3 linked regions of the Bombyx mori genome follow. Each later gene encodes a partner of the first gene's protein in a complex. Links are inferred from orthologs where the notes say so. Each region holds a gene or a part of one and is shown in the gene's direction. Other genes may lie near its edges. The genes, in order: transmembrane protein 17, transmembrane protein 216 and transmembrane protein 231.

Region 1 (4,368 bases):
AATCTGAGATTAAAGTAACATGGACCATATATGGGCCAGGATCCTGTTCAGTGTATTTTTTTCTGTAAACAGAGTCGGCCATTGGGGTCTCAGATGGTGTCATAGAAGGACTCGCTGAAGTAGGCTCTGGTGAGGTCTGTACAATTTGGCGAGGAGGCACTATAAGCTTATTTACGTTATTTGCAAGATTTCCCGCCAAAGCCTGCTGCAGCGGGCGCAACGAAAGTTGTTTGTCCGAGATCTTTGGTTTAAAAGAATTAACAAGTTGTTTCTTTTTTTGGGATTTCTTCGATTTAACGTTGACAAATTCAGATACATTGGAAAGGTCGAACTCATCACAGAAAAATATTGGTTGGCTAAACCTTGAGTTAGTCGTATCAGTTGTCTCCTCAGTAATATTCGGATCCGGGGGATCCGTTCCCGCCTCCAACTCCATACTATCTACGCTAAAGTACTAAAATATACAATTATAAACTAAACATATATACAGTTATAAACTAAAATATGCTACAATATCTACAGAATATCAAATTAAATTAATTAAAAAGGATATGAATTTTTTTATTGGCCCTCTTCTCAAGTTCCGTCCCAAATTTTTTGAAGGTTCCCGCCTCTCTCCTTATCGTCAGGTAGTATTAATAATAGTTCCATTTAACCAACTGGAAAGGCGAAGGTGTCACGCCATACATCCTTACAACTTTCGTATATTCCCTGAGTATCCCTGCCTGCAGCTTTCTGCGAGTATATTCTTAGGTTCGATATTTCGAGCGGTGTACGATATTGGAGTCATTTGGAAGATAAAGCCAAATTAGCCTCTAAAATGTTCGAAGTCCTCAATTTCACGCCTGGACTTGCGCTTTACAAAGCACAAGTCCAGCTTCACGTGGAGTACGTGAGGCCCATCACTGGGCCAAGGCTACCAGGTAGTAGGTACCATTTGACCCCATACAAAGACAGACCACTCAGATTGTCGATAATCTCATTCTCACGGATCGCTTGAAACCTCTTAACAACAGGTGGGCCATGAGCTTGGCCCCCCATCTAAGCAATAAAAAAAAACTTCCCGCCACCGGAGCAGATTTCATCCATACAATCTGGAACCGCTGTGTTCATCGATAGTGCGTTTCCAGAGATCATTCAGCTGTGTACCACCTGGCTCTAGAATGAACTCTCCTCCACGGTGTTTCTCGAGCGCTACGATATGTCCTTCATCAAACGCGGCCTGGAGGACCTACACCTACCTATTCAATGATTGATAGCGACTTGGCTATGCCCCTGGCATTGCTGACGTTCATGAGCGACGGTAACCACTTATCATCAGGTGAGCTATATGCTCGTTGGCCTACTAAGGCAATAAAAGAATAAAAACATGTAAAGTAATGACGTATTTTATTTTATTTCGTTTCATTTTACATTTTAAATACTTATCAGCCTTTATTTCAATTTTTGTTTAATGGGCTATACATTTGCGTATCCAGTGAACGAATTAAAAAAACGCAAACAAACTGTAAAATGTGCAAAACAAAACAATAACAAAGAGTAAAGCAAATATATTAAGTGTATAATCTATGAGTAAAGCTGATAAAGTATTAAATGAATAAACGGCATTTTGTTAAAGTTCAATAAATCCTATGTGGATAACTAATAAATAAACTTTGACTAAAAATTTATGATTTGTACTTTTGTACATTTAAACATTTCAATGGAGTATAAAACTATGCTACGTTTGCAGAAATGTCTGTACTTTAAAATAAATCTATTTGTTCTCTGGTGTTTTGTGACAGGGTTTTTCTTGTTTATGAAGGTATACTTTAAAATCTAAGCTGTGTTCACTGTACTTAGAAATTATCCTATTTATTATGAATAGGAAACGTAATACGAGATCTCAGTTAAAAGATTTGGGGCTCCCTGATCTCATAGGACTTAAATTAATTTGCTGACAGTGATGTATCAGCAATACAATGGCATTCCTTTAATTCAGATCTGGTGATAAAATAAAACACTACTATTTTTCAAAAAGTGAGGAACAAAGTAACTAAATTGAAGTAACTTTCCAAACAGAAATATGCATTGTGTAAAAAATTAAACAATTAAGCGTTTTAAAAATTATTTTTGCAGTTTGATCAACTTAGCCACCTGACAAAATACTTATCAGCTACAGTTTTTTTGCTACTATCTGGAATAGAAATTGTACGATTGTACCTTGGTAGATATGGAAATTTGTCTTGCAGAGTAAGTAATTAGCCATAGTTATTACTACTAATTATGTGACAAAATAAAAACATTTGCCAGTCCTTAACATTAAGTCATTGAATATTAATTAATACCTTAGTGGCAGAGATTTACAAAAACAATAGTATAAATAACAGAATGTAATAGGAAGAAAATTGTTTAAAAATACTAATATTTATGGGAACTTTAAAAAATTATATCTCGTAAACCGTGAGTCTTGCAATTTTGTAAAAAGCTTTTTATTTATGAGTACTAGCTACAAAGATATTGTGAACTTCCAAATCGACGGACCCAAAAGGAAAATTTAGTCAAAATAATAATTTGTAATATACTATTTTTTTTTAGGTTCCAGAATTAGCTGTATTCCTCATGTTGACAATTTTAATGCAAATGCCACTAGTTAGCTTCTTCCTTTTTCATCCATATTTGCTGAGTACACCAACAGAAATAACGCTGCATGCTATGTTTTGGATGACTACTATTATTGAGATTGTGTACGGGTTTAGAGCATTAAAACAAGCTTCTTCTCTAGCTAAAAGCATTTACCTGTCCACAACTCAGAATCAGTGAGTTAGTAGAGTAGTAAAAATATAAGGTAATATTGTAGTAATATTATGGTAGAATGCAGCATAATTTATATAGTATCAGACTGTAATTAGTATGAGCACTAATCATGGTATGATAAATACAAAACATTAAATAATAGCATTGTCAATGTGAAAAAGCATTTTTTGTTATGTCCTTTTTTTTATCGAAAATCAAATTTCTTTTGCAAAGAGACTTAGGATATCTATATATTTCATAACTTTAGATTTCTTAATTTGAAACAAAGGTAAACGCAGTATACATTTTTCATTTATTAAAATTAGAAAATAAACCTTAATGGGTTGAGTTTTTAAAACAAACAAAACATAGGCAGCAACTTTGTTTTCCCTGTCATTGCTGATATCCATGAGTGATAGAGGCTACTTATGCCCATCAGGTGGGTCATGCCATATGCTTAATAAAAAAAAAAAAAAATTTTTTTTCCCTAATAGCCTAATTCATGCTTTAGGGCACTGATGGGTATGATAACTACTCTTGCATGTACTCTTTTGAACAGATAGAACAGCTGTTGTATCAATGCAATGAAAATTCAATCTTCAAAGCACTCTCATTTAATATGTGGTTGATATACTTACAATAACCACTTAAAACCAGGATGAATGTGCGTTCATGCTAATTTTAACCATGACAAAACAGATCAGTCATTATGGCATAATGACCAAAGTTTTTTAAATGAAACATACTTTAAATGAAAAGACTTTATTGTCATAATACATTTGATGCTGGAACCATATCTTAAGATATTTAATAAAAATTGCTTTATTTAGCAAAGCTTTGGCATAATAAACATAAATATAATTATTTAACATAGCTTGTTATATAATAGTTAATTACAAAAGTAAATTAAGTTTTTTTTAAACAATACTGTCATAAATTACATTCAACTTTAAAAAATAGCGTCAAGCACACAAAAAATATTAGTCATAACTTTAAAATAATGATTGCACTTTTTCTTAAGTAACTACTTCAAACAAAATGGAATACAGAAAACTTCTCCGTTCATATAAAAGTAAATCAATACTCTGACTCATATTTATTAAATTTATTATTGGTATCAAAATATATAAGATTTCATTAAAATGGTTTTCAACATTCATATTTAAATATTTGTATTTGCCATTAAACTCTTCAAGGCACTGGTTTTTTATTTGTAGAAACACTGGGAAAACTTCAAGGGAAAAATGATATAATTTTGACACAGTTGAATGGATCTACAAAGTACAGTGTTTAAATGTAAAGGTTCGACATTTTCAAATTCATTTTGGAACAATCTGACTAGTGATGTTAACTTTCCACGAACAAAATTTTTAACGGAAATTATGTTCTATAACTCAGTATTTGTGATGAAGACTGCATTTAACTCCTCCTTTGAAATGTTGCCATAGTAAACCGTAAGACATCGTTTTAATCTTTCAGTGCCAAAGTACTTACTTTTAAGGCAGCTTGAATTGCAGGAGTTTTATTTGTCCACATTAAGATTTTTTTCTCCGATTCCGATTAACATTTACCTAAATCCCCTTTCCAACTATG
Region 2 (3,309 bases), on another chromosome or scaffold:
TACACTTGTTTACGAATGTCTCACGAATTTCTCCTCCTTTTTAATTCGTCAATAGAACATTGAAGAGAAAAAGAGTTTTGAATTCTTTCCCAGACATCATTAACAGCCATGCTGTTTTTATGGAATTTCTTTTGATGAAGATACGCTACACAGTAGACGTCACGATCTATGAAAATAGCGAAACGTCCGCTACCTTCGCAATCCTGGGCGCAACTGGTCACACGAATGTGTGGGAGGCTTCGCGAAGGATCGCGGTTCGCGCGCTTTGATGTCTGTTAAAAAACCGACACAGCTTGGAAAACCACAAATGCAGCGAAAACTTTGCTTATTCATTTGCAAATGTCGTCCTACACTTGCGGGTTTGGGTATTCGAGTGAATGTGAGTGACCCGTATAAAATACTGATTAAATTTGTTAATTAAAAAAAAAGTGAAAAAGTGTTAGGTATTTATAAAATTAAATTAAATAATAAACTATAAATGACCATTTCTTTTTTTGTCTTAAAGCACTATTTGAGGCCGAGATGCGATTTCTTAACCAGCATACTGTATTCATCAAACCGCATTTATTGTTCTCAAAGCGTATTGTATAGCTATATCTGTCGCAAGCCAGTAAGGTGTTCCAGTATGAAGAGTCGGGTTGAAGTTAGTCTGTCCATCTCGAAGCAATAAAAATATTGATAATTTACTGGTAGGTTACAGGTAGTAGGACGTATTGGAAGCCCGTATGAGTAGATATAATAATGATCCTGCCCATTTCTACCGCAAAGCAGTTATGCATTTGAAGGATGGATCAGCTGTTATATAATAAAATTGAAACTCTGACATCATGTCTAAAGGTGGGTTCGCCATTATTCTTATGATGTTTGGTGTTTGGTATCCACTTTACACCAGACGAACCGTGAGCTTTTAGACTTCTCTAAATAAAAACACAGTTTTAGTGTAAATAACACAGAAAAAAGCCTTGTAGTAGTCAAATATTTACTGGGCGCTATAATATAGCAAAGAGCTTTTTTTTATTTATAGCTTAGATGGGTGAACGAGTTCACAGCCCACCTGGAGTTAAGTGGTTACTGGAGCCCATAATCTATCTACGACTATCCACATCTACAACGTAAATGCGCCACCCACCTTGAGATATAAGTTCTAAGGTCTCAATATAGTTATATTGTCAGTCTCATGTATTTCTCATGTAGTTGTATTGTCAATCTCATGTATTATCTCAGTATTGTCTATATATCTAATGTTTCTTTAGGTTTAAATATGTAACAGCGGTGATTTATTAACTGTTTAGTATCTGTGGAAGTGCACAAATGTGGGAAAATGAAAAAAAGTCGCTGGACGTTACTTTTCAGGATTCTCCGAAAATTCCATTGAGAAAGTCTCAGTAATTAACCACCATTTTACTGACAATATATTTCATTCTATATTATCTCATATCATTTCATTTAATTTGCCAATTGCCAATTGATTAATGTTCCAAATCAATCAACTTCGTTTCTTTTCATTTCATATTAATAATATATTTTTTAATTTTTTTAATATATAAAAGATTTGGCTGTATGGTATGATACCTGTGCCCTTCCAATTGAAAAAATAAAACTACTACTACTACAAATTTCAAAAAGTGTAAACAAAAACATTGATTTTTATTACATACGAAACCTCGAAACAGCCTCCTCTCAATTTAGAAACTTTTCAATACATTCGTACAATTTTATAAAATATGGAAAAAATGTCGAAAGTAACAAACGTTAATTCGAGTTTGGCTTATGAGATATTACTGTATTTGAACAGTTTTTATTTAGGAATGTTTATCGTTTGTGAAGTCGCAATGGGGATATTGAAGGCTATAAATGTTTCGTATCCAGAAAACGCTCTATTAACAGAAGCCGGAATATTTAGCGCCCTATGCTTTGTAGAGATGATTAGGATCTTTTTGGGGCGTAGAGGAAACTTAGCAAGCAAAAGTAAGTATCGTATATATTCAATATTCTGCAAAAATATATTTCAAGATTCGTTGTTGTACGGAATATGTACTAAATCGCAAAAAAATATTTTGTGTCTTAAGTAAATTAAAATAGAAACTATTTTCGTTTCGTTCAATGTTACTTTTCACCATAATATGTTAACAATGTTTTTGTTACAGAAATACCGGTCTTTCTGTCAGTGCTATTGACGATTCCCTCTGCTGTAGGAGTATGTTATTTTCTAATTTATCAAACTTACATACTTCGGTTGGAATACATCTGGTGTGCCGTCATGTTAATGTTCCATGCTCTCGAGTTTGCTTTTGCAATCTTATTTATTTTTACTGTATGTAAAAATCAACAATTTGATTAAATAATGAAAACCTGAACCTCAAATATTGCAAACATTCCATATTTTTATTAAATATAGCATTAATTCAATTTGATCATTGTAATTACTCTTGTGTAGTAAACTAGGATTACTAAAAGTTAGAAACATGTGAAAAAATATAATCTCATGCCTTATGATTCTCCTTACTTTGTTGTTAATCTGGTAACATTATATTTACTAGTCTGCATTTTTATGTTTCTAGCCATTTGTAACATTAGTAATCCCCTTTGTGAAAACTGCATTAGAATTACTGTGATCATCTTATTATATTATACCGCTTTGAATAAAATCAAGAGCAACATGTAAATTAAGACTGTTTTTTTAACTTTAATGTTCAAAGTTGGCTTTTGATCTTTATGTGTCTGTTAATTAAATATATTTAATTTAATTTTATTGATTTTTAATATTTATAAATTAGAGTTGGTGAAAAATAAAGTATTAAACTAAATAACATTTAACTAATTTATTTTTATTCTAAATTATTACAATGGCAATTCACTCTTCGCTTTCTTTCTTAGGCGGTACTAAATGTTCAGGTAACTTTTGACATTCAATTTTTGTAACTTTCAACGCACAACCTTCTGGCAGATTCCGTTCGATATATTCCAAATATGTGTCGCACGTAGATCCAGTGAGCCTCTGCATATGTATAAACCTGAAGTATGTACGAATTTCATACTGCACTTTGTGTTTCTTGTAAATGTGTACACATTTTAAAAGTGTGTGCCTTTCTTTCTCTGCTTTCCTTAGTGCCCAACTGAAAAAAATAAAACTAACTAGTAGTATCTCTTTTAGCACTAATAACTTAAATTTAAATCTTTAATATGAAGGGTAAAATTTTAAATTGTAATAAATCATCTTCAAATGCCTCTATCTCCCTATATTTCATTATTTCATTACTAGTACAGGTATAAGGTACATGTAGTTTTAAGTGATAACCAGAGCCCATA
Region 3 (4,070 bases), on another chromosome or scaffold:
AAACATGTAGGCATGCAGTAACATTTATTTTGTTGTCACGACAATTTTTCTTCCTCTATCCCATTGCCATAGATGGTGAATTTAGAATTGTTCAAGACTCGTAATTTTTGTCTTGTTACTTATTATTAAGTATTTTCCATATTAAATTGACCATCTTATTACCCGTCATTGAGAGTTAATATTAGAATATAATACCAATATAAGTTACAGTGAGTAGATGTCAGTGAATTCAAAACATCAAAACGCGGGACTTTCATAGTGCACTTAAATATTAAAAGTACATAAAAGTTCACTAGGGTACCGGAACATTTAGAAAGCTAATAGGTATATATTTAATAGTATATTAAATACTGTATTGGCGGAAAAGCTTAATTCATATGCACCTTGAAACGAAGTGTCCGTTTGAATGGCCGGCATTATGAACCAAACCCGCCTCCCTCCCTTTGTCTACGCCAGGATCCTTGCTGAAAAAGATAGTTCACTTTCGTAGATGAATGAATGAGTTCACGTAAGATTAAATGGTCGTTTAGGCCAATAGACAACACAAATGCCTTCAACCACAACCCTGGGCGTCTTAACATTAAGCTATGGTGCATGTAGAAAATTTTACAATAATAAAATATATATTTTATTCTTTAAAAATAAACGATAAACACCTATTTATTCTGACTCTAGAAGCGTAAGGTCGGATCTACTTCTTACTGAGTGTCTCTGAAGAGAACTCGTATCAATATTGAAGAATTTTGGACTCCGTTCTCAGAAAAAATCTAATCTTTCATAATTTGGTGAACGTGCTTACTGTTTAGCTGGAGTTGAGTGGTTACGGGAGCCCATAGACATCACGACATTAATAGCGTCCCACCCTCCTTGAGATATGAGGTTGATGTCTCAATGTTATAGTATAACGGCTGCCCCACTCTTCAAACTGGAATGCATTACTTTTTCGCGGTAGAAATAGGCAGGGTGATGTAAGTATGGACTCACACGAAGCTCCACGACCAGTAAAGATTTATGATTGCTAAAATGATCATAAACCATCCTAGAATCAAAGAGTAGAAAAATTCTATATATGTAAACGAGAGCTATAGCTCGCCCTTTGACCAGTTGATGTTGAATCATTATTTCTTTATATTCCTTAATTTAACGCTTCTAGAGTACATATATATTTTTGATTCAGGAATTTAAAGTTTGCATTTAATTGTAAAATAATTCAGAAAAACCCTCTGCCCTAAAAAAGTCGTTGCTTAGCAACGGTTTGTTTTGCAGGTCAATGCTATTGATATTTAACATTTTACGCATATTAGTACACCGAAAACACTGTAAATTTTATATTTTAAAATGAGCTTGTACAAATTGTTTAGTTCAAATGTCGAAATACAGTATAAAAGTACCTTCCTTTCCAAAGCCATGTTCTTTACTCTTTTTACGTCTATCTTAAATATTATACTGCCTTTTATTATAGCTCAGAAAAGTAGAGGTTAGAACTCCAATTTAGCCTTGCTAAAATCAGCTGAGTGAACCATGTCCAGAAAATACTTAACAGTATACAGAAACGGTCCTATTATCGTTAAAATTAAATTATTTGAAATAGCCAGTAATTACCGAATAGATATCGAAATATAAGATCGTAATACAAATATGTATTTTTACAGGGCTCTGGGTGAAATATCACAGTTTTTATGAACAGCCAACTGTTCATTTTACGTATGAGTATGTACTAATAGCCGAAACTGAGGATCCCAGTAAACCCATACTTTGTACAGAAATTGGATTGTTTGGTAATGATAATGAAGAAAGCTCTGAATCATGTGCAGAAATGCAGGTAATGAATTTTTATCGAAAGAATTGTACTGTGTAAATACAAATTACATAACTATATAGACAATGAGTTTGTTATGAAATAAGACTAAATACACTGTGTAGTACATTTTATACTGATAACATGACCAACTACAGTTTTTGATGAATAAAATTATTAAAAACATGTATTTCCAGGTTCAAGAAAATGATTTCACTGGAGATGGCAAAAAGGATGAGCTGTATATTAAATTTCACCTAAATATACCACCAGACAGAACTGTGTCTTCTATTTTATTAATTTTATCTCTTGATTTTCAGCTGAAGGTATTTTTAACTATTTTTGACATTTTAGATATTTAATAAAAAAAGGTACTAAATCTTTTCTGTTTATTTATATTTTATAAATAGGTGCTTTAAATATGGAACAAATACTTTAATAGAATCCTTTTGTTTTCTTCTTGCAGACAATATGCCCTTTACAAATGCAGAGCTTGGCATTGATTACCAAAGAGTTTGTAATACCACCATCAGAATTAATTTTTCATGGAGATCTAAATTTTTATCAAACCACCCACTTACCTTGTGAATGGTTTAATCAAGATACGAAATATAACAGATCTTTATTTGAAATTGAAAAATGGGAAAGTTACATGTCTATTGATCATTATCTGTCTGATTATTTTCATAGAGAAGGTAAGATTATTTATTTTTACAAATATACATTTTGTGCTTATTCATATTTTAATATTGGTAACAGCATTGAAGACAAAAATAATGGCTATTGTTGTGCAGCCACAGACAGAAGGCCATAAACCTACAGTAATTTTAACACAAAATTGTAACATTTATCCTGAGTTAATAAAGATTTGATTATCAATGATAATCCTTCTTTAGTAAGGCAAATAAACTCAAGTTACTTAATAAAAAACATAATGCTCCACTGTCCATTGGATCAAAACTAATCAGGTATTCATTCTTTCAACAGCTAGATAATAGGCCAAAGAAAGTTACTTGATAATAGTTTGTCTATTATTTTTCATAATCTATCCACAGTAGATCTAAACTTCCTGGTTATCCCAAATTACTATACCATTCGGGCGCATTGAAAGTCCATACCAGTTACAAATCAGTTATACAGTTCTGCTATTATTTCTGTGGTTCTGCTGCTGCCATTAATTTCAGTTTGAAGTGTGGGTTTGCCTTTATTGATACGTCAGCCTAATGTGATCTGCAGAGTAGCATTCAAGTTCTAATGTTACCAGAGTCCAGTAACCACTGATATAAGTAAACCTACAGCATATTTATTCAACTACATTCATAACCAAAAAATAAACTATTTTCAGTTACCACAGAAGTCAGAACGATAAATTCTAGAACCTACAATGGCCAGACAGATTCTATGACTGTTCAAGTTCATCTAAGAATTCCAGAGATGCAAATAAGATACACTCCTAGTATACTAGAAGAGTTTAAGTGGGCTTGGCCTCAATATCTCTCTTTTGTAGTGATATTCCATTGGTTCTTCAATAAAGTTAAGGAATTTATATTTACCAATCGACTTCTCATGTCATGGAAAGTACAATCTTGGAAAACATTTGAATGACGAACTTATGTAAGATCTATAAAATTGTACTGCGAAATAATTGATTTGTGCCAATTTCTAGTCTTCACTGTAAAATTCACTTTAATTATTAATAAGGATAAACATGTTTTAATGTTTGCAATAAAATGATATTATAAGCATTAAGTTTCATTGGCTCAAAGAATTTAATTAATAAGATTCATATTCCAAAACTATTCTTATGGTGTCAGAAGAAGGTATAGTATTCTATATATTTAAAAGATTTCAATATGAAAGTGCTCACTATATTTATTATTTTTTAAACTAAAACTTTACATAATAATATGAAACGAAACAATTTTATTTTGCTAATCATTTATTCGATATCTACTTTACTATTTACATGTTACATAGTTAATTTTATATCACTGAGTGAGAGTTAAGGTTGGAAATGCGATATCAGGTTTGGTATTATCTAATTCAGCTCGGTTGTCCTCAATTATAAATGTTTTTCCACTGTAGTCATCAAGTTGTACCAGCAAATATCTGCACATATAGTTTCCATAATCATTCTGAAAAAACAAGTGTACTGGTGAATTGGAAAGATTTTAAATGAATTTATTAAAATAGAAAATTTTAAACAGAGATTATAAGAAATTGATGAGGTGTATACAAATTATTCAGATGTATGGTGTTATTTGAACTTTTA

Evidence for each region.
Region 2: transmembrane protein 17 (region 1) and transmembrane protein 216 share a complex: the UniProt entries of both Homo sapiens proteins name them as parts of the tectonic-like complex. The link is inferred for Bombyx mori from reciprocal best matches to the Homo sapiens genes TMEM17 and TMEM216.
Region 3: transmembrane protein 17 (region 1) and transmembrane protein 231 share a complex: the UniProt entries of both Homo sapiens proteins name them as parts of the tectonic-like complex. The link is inferred for Bombyx mori from reciprocal best matches to the Homo sapiens genes TMEM17 and TMEM231.

The regions. Positions count from the first base shown.
Region 1 is NC_085116.1:10,340,949-10,345,316, forward strand, and holds the start of transmembrane protein 17, read left to right. Parts: upstream 1-1,441; 5' UTR 1,442-1,669; coding exon 1,670-1,804; exon of another isoform or gene 1,805-2,019; intron 2,020-2,118; coding exon 2,119-2,232; intron 2,233-2,577; coding exon 2,578-2,798; exon of another isoform or gene 2,799-3,992; coding exon 3,993-4,023; 3' UTR 4,024-4,077; exon of another isoform or gene 4,078-4,368. UniProt on the Homo sapiens protein: Transmembrane component of the tectonic-like complex, a complex localized at the transition zone of primary cilia and acting as a barrier that prevents diffusion of transmembrane proteins between the cilia and plasma membranes.
Region 2 is NC_085132.1:4,411,460-4,414,768, reverse strand, and holds transmembrane protein 216, read left to right. Parts: upstream 1-1,592; 5' UTR 1,593-1,724; coding exon 1,725-1,968; intron 1,969-2,147; coding exon 2,148-2,341; 3' UTR 2,342-2,747; downstream 2,748-3,309. Other genes in the region: mRpS10 (mitochondrial ribosomal protein S10), read right to left, coding at 2,855-3,116. UniProt on the Homo sapiens protein: Part of the tectonic-like complex which is required for tissue-specific ciliogenesis and may regulate ciliary membrane composition.
Region 3 is NC_085110.1:12,598,560-12,602,629, forward strand, and holds transmembrane protein 231, read left to right. Parts: upstream 1-1,319; 5' UTR 1,320-1,338; coding exon 1,339-1,477; exon of another isoform or gene 1,478-1,521; coding exon of another isoform or gene 1,522-1,555; intron 1,556-1,652; coding exon 1,653-1,822; intron 1,823-1,995; coding exon 1,996-2,124; exon of another isoform or gene 2,125-2,169; intron 2,170-2,264; coding exon 2,265-2,493; intron 2,494-3,143; coding exon 3,144-3,403; 3' UTR 3,404-3,540; downstream 3,541-4,070. Other genes in the region: mitochondrial import inner membrane translocase subunit Tim21, read right to left, coding at 3,787-3,933. UniProt on the Homo sapiens protein: Transmembrane component of the tectonic-like complex, a complex localized at the transition zone of primary cilia and acting as a barrier that prevents diffusion of transmembrane proteins between the cilia and plasma membranes.